Linked DNA regions of Rattus norvegicus. The protein of the gene in region 1 interacts with the protein of each later gene in a pairwise test. Links are inferred from orthologs where the notes say so. Each region holds a gene or a part of one and is shown on either strand. Other genes may lie near its edges.

What was found.
Region 2: the proteins of Blmh (region 1) and Ntaq1 interact in binary tests that used the Homo sapiens proteins (3 or more experiments, as listed by UniProt). The two-hybrid records come from large-scale screens. The link is inferred for Rattus norvegicus from reciprocal best matches to the Homo sapiens genes BLMH and NTAQ1.
Region 3: the proteins of Blmh (region 1) and Nudt12 interact in binary tests that used the Homo sapiens proteins (3 or more experiments, as listed by UniProt). The two-hybrid records come from large-scale screens. The link is inferred for Rattus norvegicus from reciprocal best matches to the Homo sapiens genes BLMH and NUDT12.

Annotation. Positions count from the first base shown.
Region 1 is NC_086028.1:62,267,800-62,274,580, reverse strand, and holds the start of Blmh (bleomycin hydrolase), read right to left. Parts: upstream 4,313-6,781; 5' UTR 4,138-4,312; coding exon 4,125-4,137; intron 3,824-4,124; coding exon 3,626-3,823; intron 228-3,625; coding exon 118-227; intron 1-117. UniProt on the Homo sapiens protein: The normal physiological role of BLM hydrolase is unknown, but it catalyzes the inactivation of the antitumor drug BLM (a glycopeptide) by hydrolyzing the carboxamide bond of its B-aminoalaninamide moiety thus protecting normal and malignant cells from BLM toxicity.
Region 2 is NC_086025.1:91,578,476-91,584,746, reverse strand, and holds part of Ntaq1 (protein N-terminal glutamine amidohydrolase), read right to left. Parts: intron 3,467-6,271; exon of another isoform or gene 3,340-3,466; intron 1,282-3,339; coding exon 1,182-1,281; coding exon of another isoform or gene 1,174-1,181; intron 1-1,173. UniProt on the Homo sapiens protein: Mediates the side-chain deamidation of N-terminal glutamine residues to glutamate, an important step in N-end rule pathway of protein degradation.
Region 3 is NC_086027.1:106,188,273-106,194,223, reverse strand, and holds the end of Nudt12 (NAD-capped RNA hydrolase NUDT12), read left to right. Parts: intron 1-868; coding exon 869-1,068; intron 1,069-2,068; coding exon 2,069-2,179; coding exon of another isoform or gene 2,180-2,193; 3' UTR 2,194-4,563; downstream 4,564-5,951. UniProt on the Homo sapiens protein: mRNA decapping enzyme that specifically removes the nicotinamide adenine dinucleotide (NAD) cap from a subset of mRNAs by hydrolyzing the diphosphate linkage to produce nicotinamide mononucleotide (NMN) and 5' monophosphate mRNA.

The DNA of each region.
Region 1 (6,781 bases):
GGTATCACGTGTATAATAAAGACATACAGTAACGAGAAAAGCGAAATAATATAAAGGCTGTCCCTAACTAGGGCTGCTACGAAAACAGAAAGAAACCATGCAAGGTCAATTCCCTACCTTGTCCCAAAAAAACAGGTAAGACTGACTAAACTCAAATTCTTCAATGTTAAATTTTTTCATGAATGGAAGTCTCATAACATTCAAACAAGAAAAGATCCAGCATCGTCCTACAACGAGAAAGGAAACCAAGACGTTATGACTGTTTATAGACCACAATGCTCCAACTGCACTTCTAAAATCAAAGCCATGGGAAGAGCTAGACATTGAGACTAAATAGGAAATCACAGAAATATCACATTTGTTTGTTTGTTTTAAAGACAAAATACCATGTAGCCCACCTTGTCCTGGAGCCTACTATGAACTCCTGATTCTCCTCCTTCAGAATTTTATATATATGTCACCATGCTTGGCTTGATGTGATACAGGAATTCGTGCATGCTAGGCATTCCACCAACTTAGCTACATCCTCAACCCAGAACAGAAATATTAAATCCGAAGCAAAACAAAAGATGTGTAGTCACACAGAGAGGTTTAGTATTTTTAACACACACACATAAGAGAGAGAGAGAGAGAGAGAGAGAGAGAGAGAGAGGGAGAGAGAGAGAGAGAACTTCTAGGTTAGGCATGGTGGCACATACCTGTGACCCCAGTACTTGGGAGGCTGAGGCAAGAAGATTACTATGAGTTCAAGGTTAGCCTGGATAATGTAGTGAGTTCTAGGATAACCTAGAAACACTGAAAAAAAAATGAACAGAGATCATGAATAGATGACATGATGTCCAAAAAAGACGCAGAAGGTAAAGATGCTTTGGTTTTTTTAAGTTCTTCATAAGACATTAGTAAAGTGGGAAAACGTCCTTCTTTTTGACAATGCCCAAATTGTTGAGAACTTGGAAAAAATAAGCATTGTGCTTCTGGACAGAGAGCGCTAAGGAGATGCAAATCACCTGAGATTGATTTGGGAACAAAACTCTTAATTTGGAATGAACAAAAACCTTAAATTGGAATAGCACTCATCCTACAGTGAGTGCTAAGCTTAACAGAAGCTATTTTCTCACTAATGAGTTGTTGCATTTTAAAGGTGGTATTTAACTAACTGGGTTATATAAACATTTAAATACACATGGTAAGTAAGTCTAGGAGGAAGGAAGCAGGAGGATCACTTCAGTCTAAGAGTTAAAATATAATAATTTAAAACTTGAGACATAAATGAAAAAAAAAGTATTTGTTTCTTAAAGTCATGTTAACAACAACAAAATCATGCTAAGAGGCACCACTGCTCCAGGACAGAGATGTGGCTCAGTTGGCAGAAAGCCTAACTAGCACGCAGTAAAACCCTGGCTTCATCCTCAGCACTGCATAAACTAGACATGTAGTTAGTGCATGCCTGTAATCCCAACACTGGGAAGTGGAGGTAGGAGGAGGCTACCAAGAGGGCTCTTTCTCTACTTTCCCACTCAGTTTCCCCAGCTCCATACCTTCTGTATGCACCTGGTCATCAGAATCTCTGCCACCATTAGATCCGAATTTTCAACCACAGCACACTACCATTCCTCCATTTAGTATGTTTCTGACACAGCAAAGTTCTAAACCCACACATGATAGCGTCCCTGAAGATTTTATGACAAGCATTAAGAGCATAATCATGTTTTCATTTGCCTCTGTAAATGCATAATCAAAGCTTCTGCAATTTACCGCTTTCTGTATCAATTTGAGTTTTTAAAGGTCTATTTCCAATGACACCCATCATTTCTAAGTGAGGTCATGTCTTTATTACATTCAAATACTTTGCCTTTCAAAACTGAGGGAATCTAATCTCTGGGAGCAGTCCACACTAGTGTAGACTAGGGTAACTTCAGAGTGATGCCTTTACCAAAGCACAGCTCTGCTGTGAGGTGAGCTAGAAAACACTGAGAGCCTCTGTGAGGCCTTGAATTAAGGGTAGCACTCTCCTAGAGGAAAATTTAAAGGGTAATTCTTGACATACGTGGATATAATATTTTCACAGGCACGAAACCATGCCTCCAACACATAGGCAAATGAGAAGGTTTCTAAAAGGCAAATATAAAAATTCCTAAAGTCTGCTCTCATATTAAAAGCACTCATACGGAGAATAGACTTGATGGATAAACAGAATAAACCACTCCCCTACTGGTGCTTTGCAGATTTTTTTACACTGAACAAAAATGATTCTGTAACAAAGAAAAAAAATTAAATTGTGCTTCTGAAGAGAGTCATTTTTGTTTTAGGCTTATCTGTACACTGCCTCTCTCCTACACACTATTCCTATTTCTGCTACTCCTGGGTGAGCTATTAAGACAAATACTTCATGAAATCAAATTACATTGTTACTGCTATGCTCATACACTATTAGTATTTGGAGTCAAGTGATACACCACATAAGACCTGACCTGCTCCAGATTAACAATGTCCAAGCTTACCCTAAGAGACTGCAATCAGACCATGGAAGATTATTGTGACACATTAACTAGCCTGACAGACCACACACCCCAAGTCCTTCTGAACCAAGGCCTGTAAATGCTAAGTTCTTTCTGCCACTTAAGAAGATTATTGGAAGGGCATATATTTTTCCTTTAAAATTTAAAAAATCAAATTTACTATGGTATAATTCACTTACAGCAAAACATTACCCACGTTAAATGTATCCTTTGTGCTTTGAGTTGCTTTAAGTAACAATACTGTATTTTCTGTCCAGACACATGGTCCTGGGGTAGTGTCCAAATAAAGAAAAAAGATGCAAGGTCCCTTGAGTTCAATTTTTTTGAGACTATTTCTCCTGTTTGGATTCCTAGATAAGCAATCTCTCAGTGTAGATATATTTCTAACAGTTGTAACTGGACAGCAGACAGCAAAACAAGACTTCTCAGCCAGCAAGGAATGAGAACGCAGAACACTACAAAGTAACTACCGACAGGAACTGACCTATGAGCACGGCAACTCCAACTGCCACCACAGAGCACATTTAAAAATAGTGACCCTTTGTTGTAGTCACCTTACTGGGTTTTTTTTTTTTTTCTATTTTATGCATTTTTATTTCAGGGCAATTCTGGGACATCTTCTATGGTATGGATATTTTTCCATTGATTATTTGTGATCAAGGGCACAGGCCAAATCTGTCAGTACACAGCTCATCTCTGCTTTAGGTTTGTCTGTATGCAACCTCTCCCCTGTAAGCTGTTTCGATCTTCTGCTACTTCTAGATGAACTGTTACAATTAAAAATTGCAAGAAGACAAATTGCACATATCCAACATCATGTAATATCAAAACAGCATGGTGATACACATTCAAAGACCATCATCTGTCACGTTAGGAAACAAACTAAAAGCTAACAGGCCATACAACACCGAAGCTGCCACACAGGTAATGTTCTTGGGCCTGCCCCTTTTTTTTTTTTTTTTTTTTTTTTTTTTTTTTTTTTTTTGTACCTATTCTCTTACTACAAGTTCTTTCAATGCAACAAAGCTCTATTATCCCAAGGCCGTTTTTTAGGACGACAAAATAGGCTGCTGTCAGTAAAGTAGGCAAGAAGTCGAAGACCTCACCAGAGCTCTTCTGGTTGGTGACTGGCTTGCCTTCCTGAGGCACAACGTGCTGGAACACATGCTGAGCACCCTGGACTGTGGCCCTCTTCAGACAAATGTCCAGCAGATCGTGGGTGGTCCCGACATTCTGGGCAAGTACGAACTGAGGGTCAGAATTTAGTTTCTGGATCAAAGCAGCTACCTTCTCCGAATTTAGTCCTGTGGGGAAATCAAATGCCATTATAATTATACCCCCTCCCAAAGAGGCTGACGGGGACAGCTTTAGGATAGGGTCACTGTAGATCCTAGATTTAACTTCGCAAGAGCATCCTGCAGAGTGCTGAACCCAGAAAACCCTTTCCCGGGGCATCCTCTCCACGAGATGTCTCCCTCCTGGTGCTCTCCCGCCCTCACCTAGTCTAACCCCCATCCCACGGCCTTTCGCGCCACCGGGCCTCAGGGATCTGCGGAGCCCGGGAGAGGATCCCGGAAAGCACTCGTGGTACAAGCAGTGTCTCACCTGCGTTGTTCATGGTGCCCAAACTGCCTCGTGGGAAAACGTTAGTTTTCAGGGTCCTCAGGTGAGCTCCGGGGTTATACTACAACCCGCTGCCTAGCTGGCCGGACCTGGTTCTCGCACCCAAAGCGCCGGAAGAAGGAAACCCGCTCAATGGTGGCCGAGAGAAACGGGGTCCGCGGAGGGACAAAACTCCCCCCTCGCGTTGCTGAGTCAGCGCCGTCGGGGCTGGCCCCGCCCGGGAGGAGGGCCGACAGGGGCGGCCTTTCTGACGCTAGGGCCAGCACTGTAGCCCGGGAGCCGGAGCTGCTGGGTGAAGCCACCCACGATTGCAGCCCCCACTACCAGCATTGCTCACTCTTCGACTCGGCTACACCCTCCGCCATCTGTGATTCCTCTTCCTGGCTATAAGGGCGCCCTCCTGGAAGCTCCTAGAGGAAGGAGACTGAGGGTTCTGTGCTGATAAGCCCAGATCCCTCACTGTCTAGCACTGGGGAAAGTGATGCCCAGAACTCTTTTGAGAAGCCAGAAAGAGGTTTCATGAGGTGAAAAGGAACTGAGGGACCCAAAATTAGCCACGGGACCTCAGTATGGGTTGGCAGATCTCAAGAAATCCACCCAAAGGCTTTTTCTGTAGGCCCTTAGCTGACCCATCTGTTCATTTTTTTCCAATTGCAACTTGTTGCTTGGAGTCTAGTAAGAACGAAGTTCTTGTATTTGAAAGGATTTTGGAACAAATCTCTTTCCCACCCACCCATAAGCTACTACCACGGTTCTACAAATACACATCTGTTCATTTCATCTACACATTCTGGGTTTTGCAAGGCTCATGAGTGGTTCCTACTGAGCCCAGCTTGGGCTAAGAAGAATGATTACGTCAGTTTCATGCTTTTTTTTTTTTTTTTTTTTTTTTTGGGCAATATCTACAAAATCACACATATTCTCTCTCTCTCTCTCTCTCTCTCTCTCTCTCTCTCTCTCTCTTCAAGATAACGAATCAGTTTTTCAAGACACGGGGAATTCACTGCATATAAAATAAGTACAAACTGCACACTATAACCTTACTATTCAGATTTTTCCAGGGAGTCTAAAACCTAAGTCTTGAATCGATAATCATCCGTAGTTCAGAGGAATTCTGATATCTGGAAAGAGCCACATGCAGACACCCATCTGACATTGAGAATTCAGTCTCTATGTCCCTGACAGACTTAGCTAAAAACCTGACATTCGACATAGCAACCATCTCCAAGGGAGCCCATCAACTACCCTATTCTGTGATTTTTTTTTCCATTTTCTGAAGAAAAAAAGAAACAAGGTAAAACTCATGCTGAAAGAAATCATAGGTCCTTACACACACACACACACACACACACACACACACACACACACACACACGATGTTCAAACTTCCTGCCCAATTCAAAGAATAAAACTGCATGCAGTGTAACAGGTCCTCAGCAAGGTTCTGATGATATGAAAATTAAAAACTTTAATCTTGTCAGCAAGAGATTCATGATGTGGAACTAGGAGATGGCTCAGCCGATAAAAGCACTTGCTGCTCTTCCTAGGGACCCAAGTTTGGTTCCCAACACCCAAGTCAGAAAACTGTAAGTCCAGTTCTAATGGATTCAACCAAATCTTCCTTCTGGCTACCATGGGCACTCATCCATGTGCACGTGTATATGCAGAGACATATACATTCAAAAAAAAAGTATACTATCACACAGCAATGCAGTACAAGTAGCGAGAGCCAGATGCTAGAAAGACAGAGATGATAGGGCTGGGCTCAAGGGTAGAACACTTGTTTAGCATGCATGCCTGGATTTAGTCCTCAGCCCCACAAAAAAAGAAAAGGGGGGCAGGTGGTGATAGTTTTGAAGAATAGATGGAATTTTACAAGACAAAGAGTGTGTGTGTGTGAGAGAGAGAGAGAGAGAGCATTCAAGGTAACAGTAAAGGCACAAGGCATGAGAGCACACGACAAGATCAGACCCAAGCCTCCCTGCATCACAATTTGATGTGGTTAAAAGCAAGAACTGTAATGAGATCAGAGGCAAAGAACAGGACCAGGAAAGTAGGTTTGGGCTGGGATGTGAAGGCTTTTATATGCCACACCTGAGCATCTGGACTTTACGATTAATTAGAAGTCAAAAAATAGGTTTAAACATAGGAGCAATGCTCTCAGATCTGTGTAAAGGAAGATCTGGTGGCTACGGGGAGGGGAGAGATTCTGGAGACGGGAATTAGTCAGAATGCTACTACACTTGTAGAACACTTGGGAGATAACAACAGCCTTAATTGTAGAGAGCGAGGAAGCATGGAAAACCTCAAAGCTCTCAGTTGAACTAGAAAAGAAAAGATGACATCATTAACCAAGACCCAGCTTTTAAAACTGTTGGCTTTAACCCCATATGGGATCATGTAACTGGTGGTAGGATGTGGGTTATGAAAATTTTTGCAACAGGGGCTGAAGAGATGGCTCAACTGTTAAGAGCACTGGTGGCTCTCCCAGGGAACCTAGGTTCAATTCCCAGCACCCACAGTGTGGCTCACAACCATCTCTTCTAGTTCCAGGGAGCTGATGCCCTCTGGCCTCCATGGACTCTCTGATGTGGTATGAAAACATACATACAAGTAAAACAGCAGTACACATAATTCAAA
Region 2 (6,271 bases), on another chromosome or scaffold:
AGTGGTCAAGCTGCTCTTCCAGAAGACCCAGGTTCAATTCCCAGGACCCACATGGCGGCTCACAACTGTCTGTAACTCTAGTTCCAGAGGATCTGACACCCTCACACAGACATGCATGCAGTCAAAACACCAATGCACATGAAATAAAAATAAGTAAATCTTTTTTAAAAAAATCAAAGTGTTTATGTTTCTAAGCAATTAATATCAACGTGAAGGGATGATGTCCCAATCCTAAGTGTTAGCGTCCTTCAGGAGAGAAGACTGCAGTGCCCTCCAGAGAGCAGGAAGGCCTAGACTAGGAGAAAGAAGGCCAGGCAGGGTCAAGTCCTGCCTTCCCGTTCAGTTATCCTGAGACCTCTCTGCATCTTTCCTTCTTCATATTTTTTTGTTTTGTTTTTCGAGACAGGGTTTTTTTCTGTGTAGCCCCGGCTATCCTGGAACTCACTCTGTAGACCAGGCTGGCCTCAAACTCAGAGATATGCCTGCCCCTGCCTCCCAAATGTTTCAGCCACTGTTGCCTGGCTTCCTTCTTCGCCTTTTTTTATGTAGAGAAAGTTAGCAGACATGGCAGTATGAGGCTGCAGCCCCAGCCTTGGCTACATAATGAGTGTGAGGCTGAAGTGCTGAGGTAACATGAGCTCTGTCTCTAGAAACAGAAGTCATTAAAATAAACCTGGCCTATTTCATAGGACTTTTATTAACCCCAAAGATGGCACAAAGGGCTGCATCTAACGATTCACGAAAGTTTACTACAGCTCTATTTAAACTACAGAGACAAACCTTTACTTCAAATCTGAGTCAGGCGGCTCTAATAACACAATTTTTAAAAAGCTCTAAGCCATACATGCAGCGTGCCTATAATCCCAGTTCTCAGAAGGGTGCCTCAGTCTGTGGCCAGTCTGGTCTACACAGTGAGTTTCAGGTCAGCCAAGGTCTATACTATGAGGCACTGTCTCAAAAAGGAAGGAGGGGAGGGAATGTAATCTGCATAAATACACCATCACACGGTTTGTCACCTAGAGTAAGGGACTAAATACTTCTAAAGTGAATCTAAATGAAACTAAATGTTTGAAAGGTTGCTGCTCCAAAGTGTATGTTAGAACAGCACAGTGTCTGCGCTGTACTTGGCTTCTCAGGTCCCCCTGAGCCTCACCTCATTCCGTCATCACTTACCAACTTACCATCTTCTTCTCATTCGATATGAAGACAGCGTAGCACTCCTCCAACAGATACTGGTTGTGTGTTTTGATGTATTCACAGAGCTTCCAAATGTTTTCCTCACTGAAACAAAATGATTGCTTAATCAATATAATTACAAGTGAACAGCTGTCTTTTGGATTTAAACAAAAGATGGGTGAGGATATAACTAGAGAAGACCGTAACCGCCTCATCTGACAGCTGGTTAACAGGTGGCTTTGGCACAGCCAACAGCTGCTAGCCCACCTGTACTGGGTGCACACGTGCAGAGGGCCCTTTCCTACCCCAGGAGGCTGACTGAGGCCAGTAAAAACTATGTCAGGACTCCAAAAGCTGAGAAACTCTGGAATCCCAACTCAATCACCACCAGGCAAAGCAGCTATGCAATTCCTTCCTGGCTTCTCCAAACCCTGCTTTTCTCCTCTGTAAAATTCAATCTTACGCCACACTGTCACCTTCCTCAAATCCCAGTACTTGGGAGACAGATCTCTTCCAATTCAAAGCCAGATAGGGCCACATAGTAAGGACCTGTTTCAAAAATAAATAGGGCTGGAGAATTGGCTTGGTGATTGATTAACCATGCCTACTGCTCTTCTAGTTTAATTCTTAGCACCACATCGCAGCTTACAACTGCCTGTAACTCCAGCTTCAGGGGGATCTGACATACTCACAAGCACAAACTCACATACACACTCACATACATATATGAAATTAAAATAAACTGAAAACATTTCCATTTTAAAAAATAAAAAAATCATTTTAAAAGTCCTTTTAGGAGCTGGACAGTGTTGGCACACGTCTTTAATCCCAGCACGGCAGGGGCAGGGGCAGGGGCAGGGGCAGGGGCAGGGGCAGGGGCAGGGGCAGGGGCAGGGGCAGGGGCAGGGGCAGGGGCAGGGGCAGGGGCAGGGGCAGGGGCAGGGCAGGGGCAGGGGCAGGGGCAGGGGCAGAGGCAGAGGCAGAGGCAGGGGCAGGGGCAGAGGCAGAGGCAGAGACAGGCAGATCTCTGGGTTTGAGGCCAGCCTGGTCTACAGACTGAGTTCCGGGACAGCCAGAGCTTTAAAAAAAAAAAAAAAAGGTGGAAACCGAAATTCATCTTCCTATGCTCTGCTCTATCCCAGCCAAATCTCTCCCTATGTGACAGGCAATTAGCTATGTGACATAGTCAGAACCTGCTTAAGCAATGCTCAGGGTATCACACTGAGCCTCCTTCCCAAGCACAGGCAAGCACAGGCACTCCTCCTAGCTGACTTCATGGCTCAGCCTCTGGGTCCCTATCTGTATGTAATGAATCAGATACACCTCTGCTCAGAATAAGCCTCATGAGCGCTCTGCTGGCCCTATCACTCACTGTTAGAGCCAATTTCTACTCATCCACACCTCACTACCTGAGAAAGACAGGAACAGCATGCAGGAAATTTATGAAATTATAGTAAACAAAAAGTATTACAGAAATGTGCTTTTTCTTTTTTTAAAAACTATTTATGCATTTATTTTATGTATACAATTACACTGTAGCTGTCTGCAGACACACCAGCAGAGGACATTAGATCCCATTACAGATGGTTGTGAGCCACCATGTGGTTGCTAGGAATTGAAGCAGCCAGGGCTGCCAACGGCAGAGCTATCTATCTCTCCAGCCCTGAAATACGCTTTTTCGATTACATTTAAAGAGAGAGACACACACAGAGACAGAGAGACAGACAGAGAGACAGACAGACAGACAGACAGAGACAGACAGACACAGAGATTTTTGCATGTCACAGTGCATGTGTGGAAGTCAGAGAACAACTTTTCAGGGACTGTGGGTCCCAGAGATTGAACTCAAGTCTTCCAGTTTGCTGGCTGGTAACTTTAGTCCCCCTTACCCCACCTACACTTTTAAGAAAGATTCAGGGAGGGCAAACTAGCTCAGAGGGTAAAGGCTAAGCCTGAGACCTGCGTGCGCTCCTGGGTATCCAGGAGGAGAAGAGAGAACCAACTCAGGTCCAGTCGTCATTCCTCAGACCACCCATGGACACTCACTCATGGACCAACTATGCTCTAGACATCGCCCTGCAGCTAAATGCTGGAACACTTCCCCCATACCAAGTCCTGTCCCACTGGTTTCGCCTGGAAGCTATGTGGATGAATAGGGGAGACAGATGTAGGGGATCCAGTCACAGAGAGGAAACTGCTTGTGCCCCTCATTACAATGGTCCCAGATTCTTCTTGGGTGCGTTGTAAACAGAGAAGCCACTCTTTAGGCCCTCTGCTCTGAGCACACCCCATAAAATGTTTATCCAAGTTCTGAGAAGACATGTGTTGGTCTGGTCTCACAGGAATTCTGAACTTAACCAGGAGCATCTTCAAGGGCATGAGATACACATCACAGCTAAGTGCTTAGATCATGAATTAATGCCTACAGACCAGAGGCATAGAGGCAAAGCACCAATTATCCCAGGGGGTCCATTAAAGGTGCATAAAGACAGCAGAGGAGGAGTCATTAGTTCAGAGAGATGGGGAAACAGCTTAGGTACAGGCTAGCAGTTTCTCCTTTTTGCCTTGTCCCCGTCTCCATCCTGAAGGTGGTTTGGAGTTAAGGCACCGTTCAAGAGTCTACAAACAGCATTAGCAGGCAGAACTCATGATATGGCTTGAATATACACTGCCCGATATTTCTCAAATTTCTGTGAATGTTACATAGGGAAAAAAATAAAATGTGGCAGTAGTGGTGATACACGCCTTTAATCCCAGCACTCAGGAGGAAGAGTCAGGTGGAGCTCTGAGTTTGAGGCCAGTCTAGTCTACAGATAGAATTTTATGACAGCCAGGGCTACACAGAGAAACCCTGTCTCCAGAAAACAAATAAATAAAAAACTAAATAAAAATAAAAAATGAGGGCTGAACAGATGGCTCAGCGGTTAAGAGCACTGGCTGTTCTTCCAGAGGTCCTGAGTTCAATTCCCAGCAACCACATGATGGCTCACAATCATCTGTAATGGGTTCCAATGCCCTCTTCTGCTGTGTCTGAAGACAGATAGAGTGTACTCATAAATAAAATAAATAAATAAATCTTTAAAAAAAATAAAGTTAAATTAAAAATGAAGCTAAAGGTTCCTTTTTTTAAAAGATTCATTTATTTATTTTATATGAGTACACTATAGCCATCCACGGACACACCAGAAAAGGAAATTGGATTCCCATTACAGATGGTTGTGAACCACCATGTGGTTGCTGGGAATTAAACTCAGGACCTCTGGAAGAACAGCCAGTGCTCTTAACCACTGAGCCATCTCTCCAGCCCTAAAAGTTCCTTTTTCACTAACTTATTTTGAGACAGGATCTAACTGTGTAGCTCTGGCTGGCTTGTTGCCACATAGCCCACTATGTAGACTAGACTAACCTCAAACTCAGAGATCCTCCTGCCTCTGCCTCCAGAGTGCTAAGATTAAAAGCATATGCCACCAAACTCAGTCATTAATTATATTCCATAACACAACTAATACAAAGTTGAGGAATCTCATGAAATTTTTGTTGTTTCGTATTTGAGACAGGATCTGGCCTAGAACTTGCTGTGGAACGGAGGCCAGTCTCTAACTTGAGGTTATCGTCCTGGCCTCTGCCAGAGGGAGCTGGGATTGCAGCCAGTGTTCTAAACAGCTTAGGCCATCTCTCTAGCCCTGCCTTTCCATGAAATGTTTGATGTTAAGGGGGTTGGGAGTGAGGTCCTTACATTTGGAAATGCTGGGAGCTACAGTAGGAATAGAAAGTACTCTGCATTTGCCCAGGCCCTGGAATCTACTTAACTGTTAAATGGAAACTAAAACAGGGAGTGGTGATGATAACATCTCCAGGATATCAGTTGATCTTATCCCTAGCAAAAGGGCTACGAAAGCAACAAAGAGCTGAGACTGCAGCCCGCGTAACCCATGAGCTGAATTTGGAGAAGCAGACACAGTGAAGCACCTAGCCCAGGGCAATGTGAAATGCAATGTAAAGTGCTGGGGGCGGGGTGTGTGTGGGAAGTCCTCAATGACAATGCTAGACAAACTCAAGACCCTTTGGGGTTCAATACTTAAGCACTGGGATAGGGATGGGGAGGAAAACCTGCAAAACCACACAGTCCCACACATCTTAGCTACCATTCTCATCATTAAGTAGGATCTGGAAAGAACAGTAACATCTAACAGAACACAGACTGCAGAAGCAGCATTTATTTCAAGACAGAAGAACTGGGAGAAACAATGCAGTTAGGTGTGCCTACGGACAAGCCAATCACAGCAGGACAAGGTCTAGAGACCTGTTTGTCACAGCTGGGGGGTGGGGTAGGGGGCCTGGTAACAGCATCTATCTCACACAGGACAAAAATGCTATAAAACACACTAAAAGAAGAATTGATATTCAAAATGCCAACAAGTCAAGGCTAGGAACCCTGCAAAAGGGAAGAGAAGGCAGGTTCAAAATGAAGTTGTAAGGACGCAGGCCTGGGAAAAACAAACCGGCTAGTCTGTGGTGCTCAGAAGCAGACTCTGTGGTCTCTAAGTCTATCCCACAAAATATGATCAGCAAGCCTGGCATGGTGGCATGGGTTTTTAATCCCAGCACTCAGGCAGGTATGCTTCTGTGAGCTGGAGGCCAGCCTGGTTTACATAGTGAGTTCTTGGACAGACAGTAAGATCCTGTTTTATAGGAAAAAAGGGAGGAAGGAAGGAAGGAAAGAAGGAAGGGAGGGAGGGAGGGGGGGAGGGAAAGAAGAGAGGGGGAGATATGGTCTGGAGAGATGACTAGGCAGTAAAAAGCACTTGTTGCTCTTCCCAGCACTAAATCCAGACTCTGGGATCTTCTTCTAGCCTCATGGGTACCAGTGACTCATGTAGTATATGGACATATATGCAGTATGAAACCAGCAGAGTGTTATTTCCCCCGTTGCTATGGCAACATCTTTTAGGGTTTTTTGTTTGTTTGTTTTCTGGTTGAGACAGGGTTTCTCTGTGCAGCCTTGGCTCTCCTGGAACTAGCTCTGTATACCAGGCTGGTCTTGAATTCATAGATCCCCTCTGCCTGCCTCTGCCTCTGGATCCAAGGCATGTGC
Region 3 (5,951 bases), on another chromosome or scaffold:
ATTTGTGTCCTCTGTCTGTTGTGTTCCATTGTTTTAGCCTTTGTTAACACTGAATGCAGGCATGTACTGTTACTGTGCTCAGTCAAATCTTCTCCACTAGTCTAAGACTTCTCGTCACTGTGTACTTCTTGGAATACAAAAACTTGTGTATAGGAGAGACATCAATCTGTTTGAAATAAATGCTATATTTAAAAATGTGTCTCATTAAATACTGTTATACATTTTAAATTTTTCTAAGCACCCAAATACTTAAAATCATTTCTAACAAACTCAGAATGCTCATTCACAAGTAAAACAGTGCTTGGAAATTCTCCATTGTGATTTGAGTTTCCAGGTTTTGCTGAAAGCTGGATGTCATAGAGCATGCACGGTTGTCTGTAACCCCAATACTTGGGAAGTAAAGGAACTAGAATCTGGGTGGGGGAGAGTCTCAGCTACATAGCAAGTTCAAAGCCAACATAGCTACATAAGTCCCTATCTCAAAATAAAACAGATTTTTAATGGAGGGAAGAACTAACCATTTATAAACTCATGAAATAGCACCATAGGAATGGCGATGCATGAGATAATAAAATTTTCCATAAGACTTAGTCAATGTTACATGATAGTTGCAGAATTTTTTAATTATTTCCTTTATGTGGCTGCCAAATTGTGACTTTTAAGAAACGAAAGTTGCTGGAGGCACTTTGATCCTCGCTTTGTGGCCACACACTTGCAAATGCAGTACTTATCTTGCCTTCCATTCCAGAATGAGCATTCACTGAATTGGGGCTCTTTCCAGAGTGATTTCAAAACGTTTGAACAGTTTGGAGCTCACAGTGCCCAAAGTCATGCTGACACCACCTGTTCTTTTGCCTCATCTGATTAGGGGAGACAATAGAAGACGCTGTGCGGAGAGAGGTAGGAGAGGAAAGTGGAGTCAAAGTTGGCCATGTTCAGTATGTCTCTTGTCAGCCGTGGCCAATGCCCTCCTCTTTAATGATTGGCTGTTTAGCTGTGGCAGTGTCTACAGAAATTAAAGTTGACAAGAATGAAATAGAGGATGCCCGATGGTTCACTAGAGAACAGGTAAAGTTCAATTTAATTTCCTTGTTGTATTGATTGTTCCACGATAGTATTGGTTTGGGCATGCCGCATGGAAGCATATTTTCAGCAAGTCGAACGGATGGCTGCAGCCCCCTCATTATGAATGGATTATAATGTAACTGACGGTTCCGGATAGAAAATGTGCGTTGTTAATGTGTCCCCCGACTCATTCCGCGAGATTCTTCTAAAACGATGCTGCTGTGCCAGTTCAGATTTCACATGTTGGACCTATTGATGAATGAATGCTAATCCCTTTCAGTGAATTAAAGTCTTCATGTTAGTTCAGACATCACAAATATTAATCTCAGACCTTTATGTTAAAGCCAATAGCTTTCAAAAAGAAGTCGGTAAAATGCTTGAAGTTTTTGTGTATTTTGAAAGCTAGTGCTGAAGCACATGAGTTACCAAGAGCTTGAGAGCAATACGTGGTGAGTCCCAGGCCTGGACTGAATAACAAGACTCCGTCTTTAAAATAATATATATGGGATGTGTGTGTGTGTGTGTGTGTGTGTGTGTGTATGAAGTACAAAGAAAGAAAATAAATGAAAGGCACAAAAAACATAGATGTCACTAAATACATAGATATATGTCATAATTGTCATAATATATATTTATAAGAACTTTTAAAAGTTATACCTCTAGGTCACAAAGATAAATAATTGAAATGTTTCAAAAATTGTATAGAAAATGAACACAATATATATTAAAAATGAAGACTCGTTTATGGCTTTGTCCACACGAAATTAATTGTTATCTTATATTCACTAAAGAAATCAGATTGTTGTTTCAGAATTGTGGGAAAAGGACCCCATACCAACAGCTTGTCTTCCCTTTGAAGTTAAATGCAGGACATATATTTTATCCATGGCCTTGATTTCATATGCCTTTCTGAAACATTGAAAAATTGAAAACGGGATTCACTGCAGAACTGGGAGCGCTACATTAGCTGGCCTCTAACGAGTTCATTATGACTGTGTTTCAGGTGGTGGATGTTCTTACCAAAGGGAAGCAGCAAGCATTCTTCGTGCCACCAAGCCGAGCTATTGCACATCAGTTAATCAAGCACTGGGTTGGCATGAACCCCAGTCTCTAAATGAAAAATGCTAGCCTCTGTCGAGTATCACCTAATTTTTAACACTACTTATATATCAAGAAAGAGTAGATATATGTACTGATCTTTAGAACCTTTTAACGTAAAACTTGGGAGCTTCAAAAATGTTTTCAGGTTCTTTCCATTATTAATTACAAAATTCACAGTTTTATAAACTGGAATGATGCCTCAAATTTTTTCATAAATTCGGAGGCAGCCTGTGAACATTTTTGTTGTGTTTCCCAATTTTATCTCAGAAAACTAATTGTTTGTCTACCAAGAAAGATCATGTTGGGATGAAGTGTGCTCCAGAAATGAGGTAAACCTTAATCTTTGTAAAGAGTGGACCCCTTGTTGGAGATATTTGTCAAGATAACTTTGGTGACTTTTGAGCGTCCGTAATATTTAATCATCTAATTATTATCTTCCTGGTCTTTTGTCTACTGGTAGTACTGTTGTACTATTAGTCCTAGTTTGATATGACCAGTGTTGAAAATTATTTTATAATTATAATAATTAATGTCAGTATTCACTTATGAAATACAGTAGCTTGGCACCAACCTTTCTCATCAGATCCTCAGAGCCTTAAGTAGCACACCTTAGAATGGGGCTGCTCAGCTCTATGGATAGTTAGTGCAGTGTTTCAGTTTTACAATATAGATGCATATATTTTACTTGATTGTCCTGCAGTTGTCTTAACTACATAAATTTACATATGTTGCCTCTTTACTAGTCTGGTAGAACTTGAAGAGAGCATGAACACAATAGATGTTGAACATCATCATTTTAATAGTATGCATCTAAGACCTAGATCTCCAGTGCAGTAGGAAACAGAAGCTATTACTAAAAGTGTCTGTAGACTAAGGAGCCAGAAAAATGGCTCTGTCATTAAGGTGCTTGCTGTGCAAGCATGAGTCCTTGAGTTCAGATTCTCTGCAACGGTTTCAAAAGCTGTGTTCAGTACCATCCAACTCTAACCCCAAACCTAAAGAGGCAGAGATGTGAGTATCCCGAGGGCTTGTTGGCCAGTCAGTCTGGTGAATCACTAATTGGAATAACAGACCTTGTCTCAAAACGTAAGGTGGAAAGATGGAGATGGATCCAATGTGAAGAGCACCTGTCATTCCTGTGGAGGACCAGGGTTTAGTTCCCAAGATCCTCCTCAGGCAGGACACAACCCCCCTGCAGCTACAACTTCAGGGGATCCAACACCCTCTTCTGGCCTCTGCAAGCATCTGCATGAGCATTTAATGAAGACACAGACACATAAATAGAAAGATTGAAGAATACACCTGACTTCTGTCTCTGCCCTACACCCCCCTACACACACACACACACACGTGTGTGCACACATTCCCACACACATGTGTGCACACATTCCCACACACAGGCACACACACACAATAAGTGAAAAAACTGATGATAGGAAGAATGAACTTAGCTTATCAGATGTTTTTAATTGAAAATTTAAGTATAAGGCTTAACATTTATTTAACCTAAATAATGTAACTTTCTTAGAGAATTTACTTTACTAATGAATACTGTTGCTTAGCAGTTAATGAAGGCTTTATTAAAATCAGTGCTTTGACCAAAATAGGACCTACACAGAACATTTATATATGTGGTAATTTGGACCTATATAATTATGTTAAAAGTTATACTTTGAGTATTATGAAATATGATCAGCTAAAGTTCATCTTTGCTCCAAACATGCTTTTAATATTTGTCTATTCTTATATAATGTTGTAAACTCTCCACGTCCATAATGTTAAATAGCAAAGTAAAATACACATGTTAAAAATGTACAAATTTAGTTTCAAATTCCTACTGTACTTGGGAAAATTAGTGAGTAAATTACTGTGTTTAATAATCATTCCTAAGTTTTGACATTGGAGAGGTGAGGATGCACTGTAAATTTGAAAGGTTGCTTTCTTAGCCAGTTCTGGAGGGGCATTAGATACTAATGTAACAACACATTAAATGTACTCTGTGTATTGTATGTGTTTTAAATGTTTTGATGAATTTTTTGACACAAGTATAAATTTTAGCCTGTATCATTGGTTTATTAATGGTGTTCATAAGCAAATGTACAAATCTCTCTCTTTTGTTTTTGAGCTTTGATTTCACTGTAGCCCAACGTATATAATTCTTGGATTACAGGTGGGATCCACCATATCTGGCAAAAGAATTAAAATTTTGATTTGGTGCACAAATGTAGCCCAAGAGTAATTTACTTGTGCAATGCCTCCAAGGTATTGGGTTTAAACCAAAGCTTTTTTTTAATGACTATTTTGAATCTTAAGTTTTGTAGTTTGGGGTAAAATGTGTCAACAAATGGGTTTGTGAGATCTTACGTTGTGAATAATTAAAGTCTTCAGACTTAAAGCTATGTATGTAGCACAGTCTACCTTAATTACTTGTCTACTGTGGTCAATATTTGCACTTTGAAATATTCACTTGTTTGTAGTTTGCGATGAATTGAAAGCTCACAGCCTGACCTGGCAAAGCAAGCCTGTAATTGCTGTTAATCAGGCTGAAGGCTGGAGGAATGCAAATTCAAGACCTGCCTAACAGCAAAGTGACTTTGAAACCACACTGAACAACCTAGTGAGATCCCATCTAAATTAAGAATTAAGAAACAAGGTAAGGATATTGCCCAAAGATAGAACACTCACAGGTCACATGATTCAATACACAATAACATACACATACATTCACAGCACTTAAAACTTACATTGGTATGGAAATTAGCCTGTTAAAGATACATGTAGGGGTTGGGGATTTGGCTCAGTGGCAGAGCGCTTGCCTAGGAAGCACAAGGCCCTGGGTTCGGTCCCCAGCTCCGAAAAAAAGAACCAAAAAAAAAAAAAAAAAAAAGATACATGTAGGTATCTTTAACATCCATGGGTAAAGAGAAGACAGAATGGAAAAATGTGAGACCACAAGACAAAAGGAGGAACCGCAAGCTTTGATGACACAAGAGACTATGGGAGCTAGGACTATTTTAAGGAGGCAAAGGTTGTATGTCACGTGGGCAAATGCCTGAATTTTCCCAAAGTTGTCGAATAGGTAAGAACTGCAGAAAGTAATGTGAAAATAAATACCAAGTTCAATCCTCCCTCTTCTATATCATTCTTTGTTCTCTCCCTTCTTCAAATACTAGGGTAGAAATCAAACATTTTCCAAAAGAAAACACTGATTTATTTTTTTTTTATTTTTCATTCTTTCTATGGTTTCATAGATGGATGCGTGTAATGAAATATAACTACTTCCCATCTCTGTCTTTCATTTCCTCCCTCTTCTTATAACAAATCTTTTGTCCCCTTTTGTGTGTGAGCCGTGAGTTTAATTGAAGTTGCTTGAGTGACCTTGAGTGTGGGGTTATTTACTGGAGGATGGGCAACATCTCAGTGACTATACCACTGAAGAAAATCACACACACACACACACACACACACACACACACACACACACCTGACTCCACCCACAGACCCCCAACCCCAAGCCAACATCAACTGGCAATAGTCTCTCAGGGAGAATTGAGGACTCCTGGCCCTCTCTCCATCTATGCTGAAATGCTGATTAAATTTTGTGCAGAATCTTGTTATACATAGCAGATTTTCAAATAATTTTTTGTTATTTAAAAAAATGGTCAAAGATGGCATAGGGAAATGTGTAATCATCAACCTAAATTCTTTTTGAAAAGTATTAATTTTCAGCTGCAAAATAAGCATCTAGACATGAAAACTGAACCAATATAGAAATGGCTTATTCT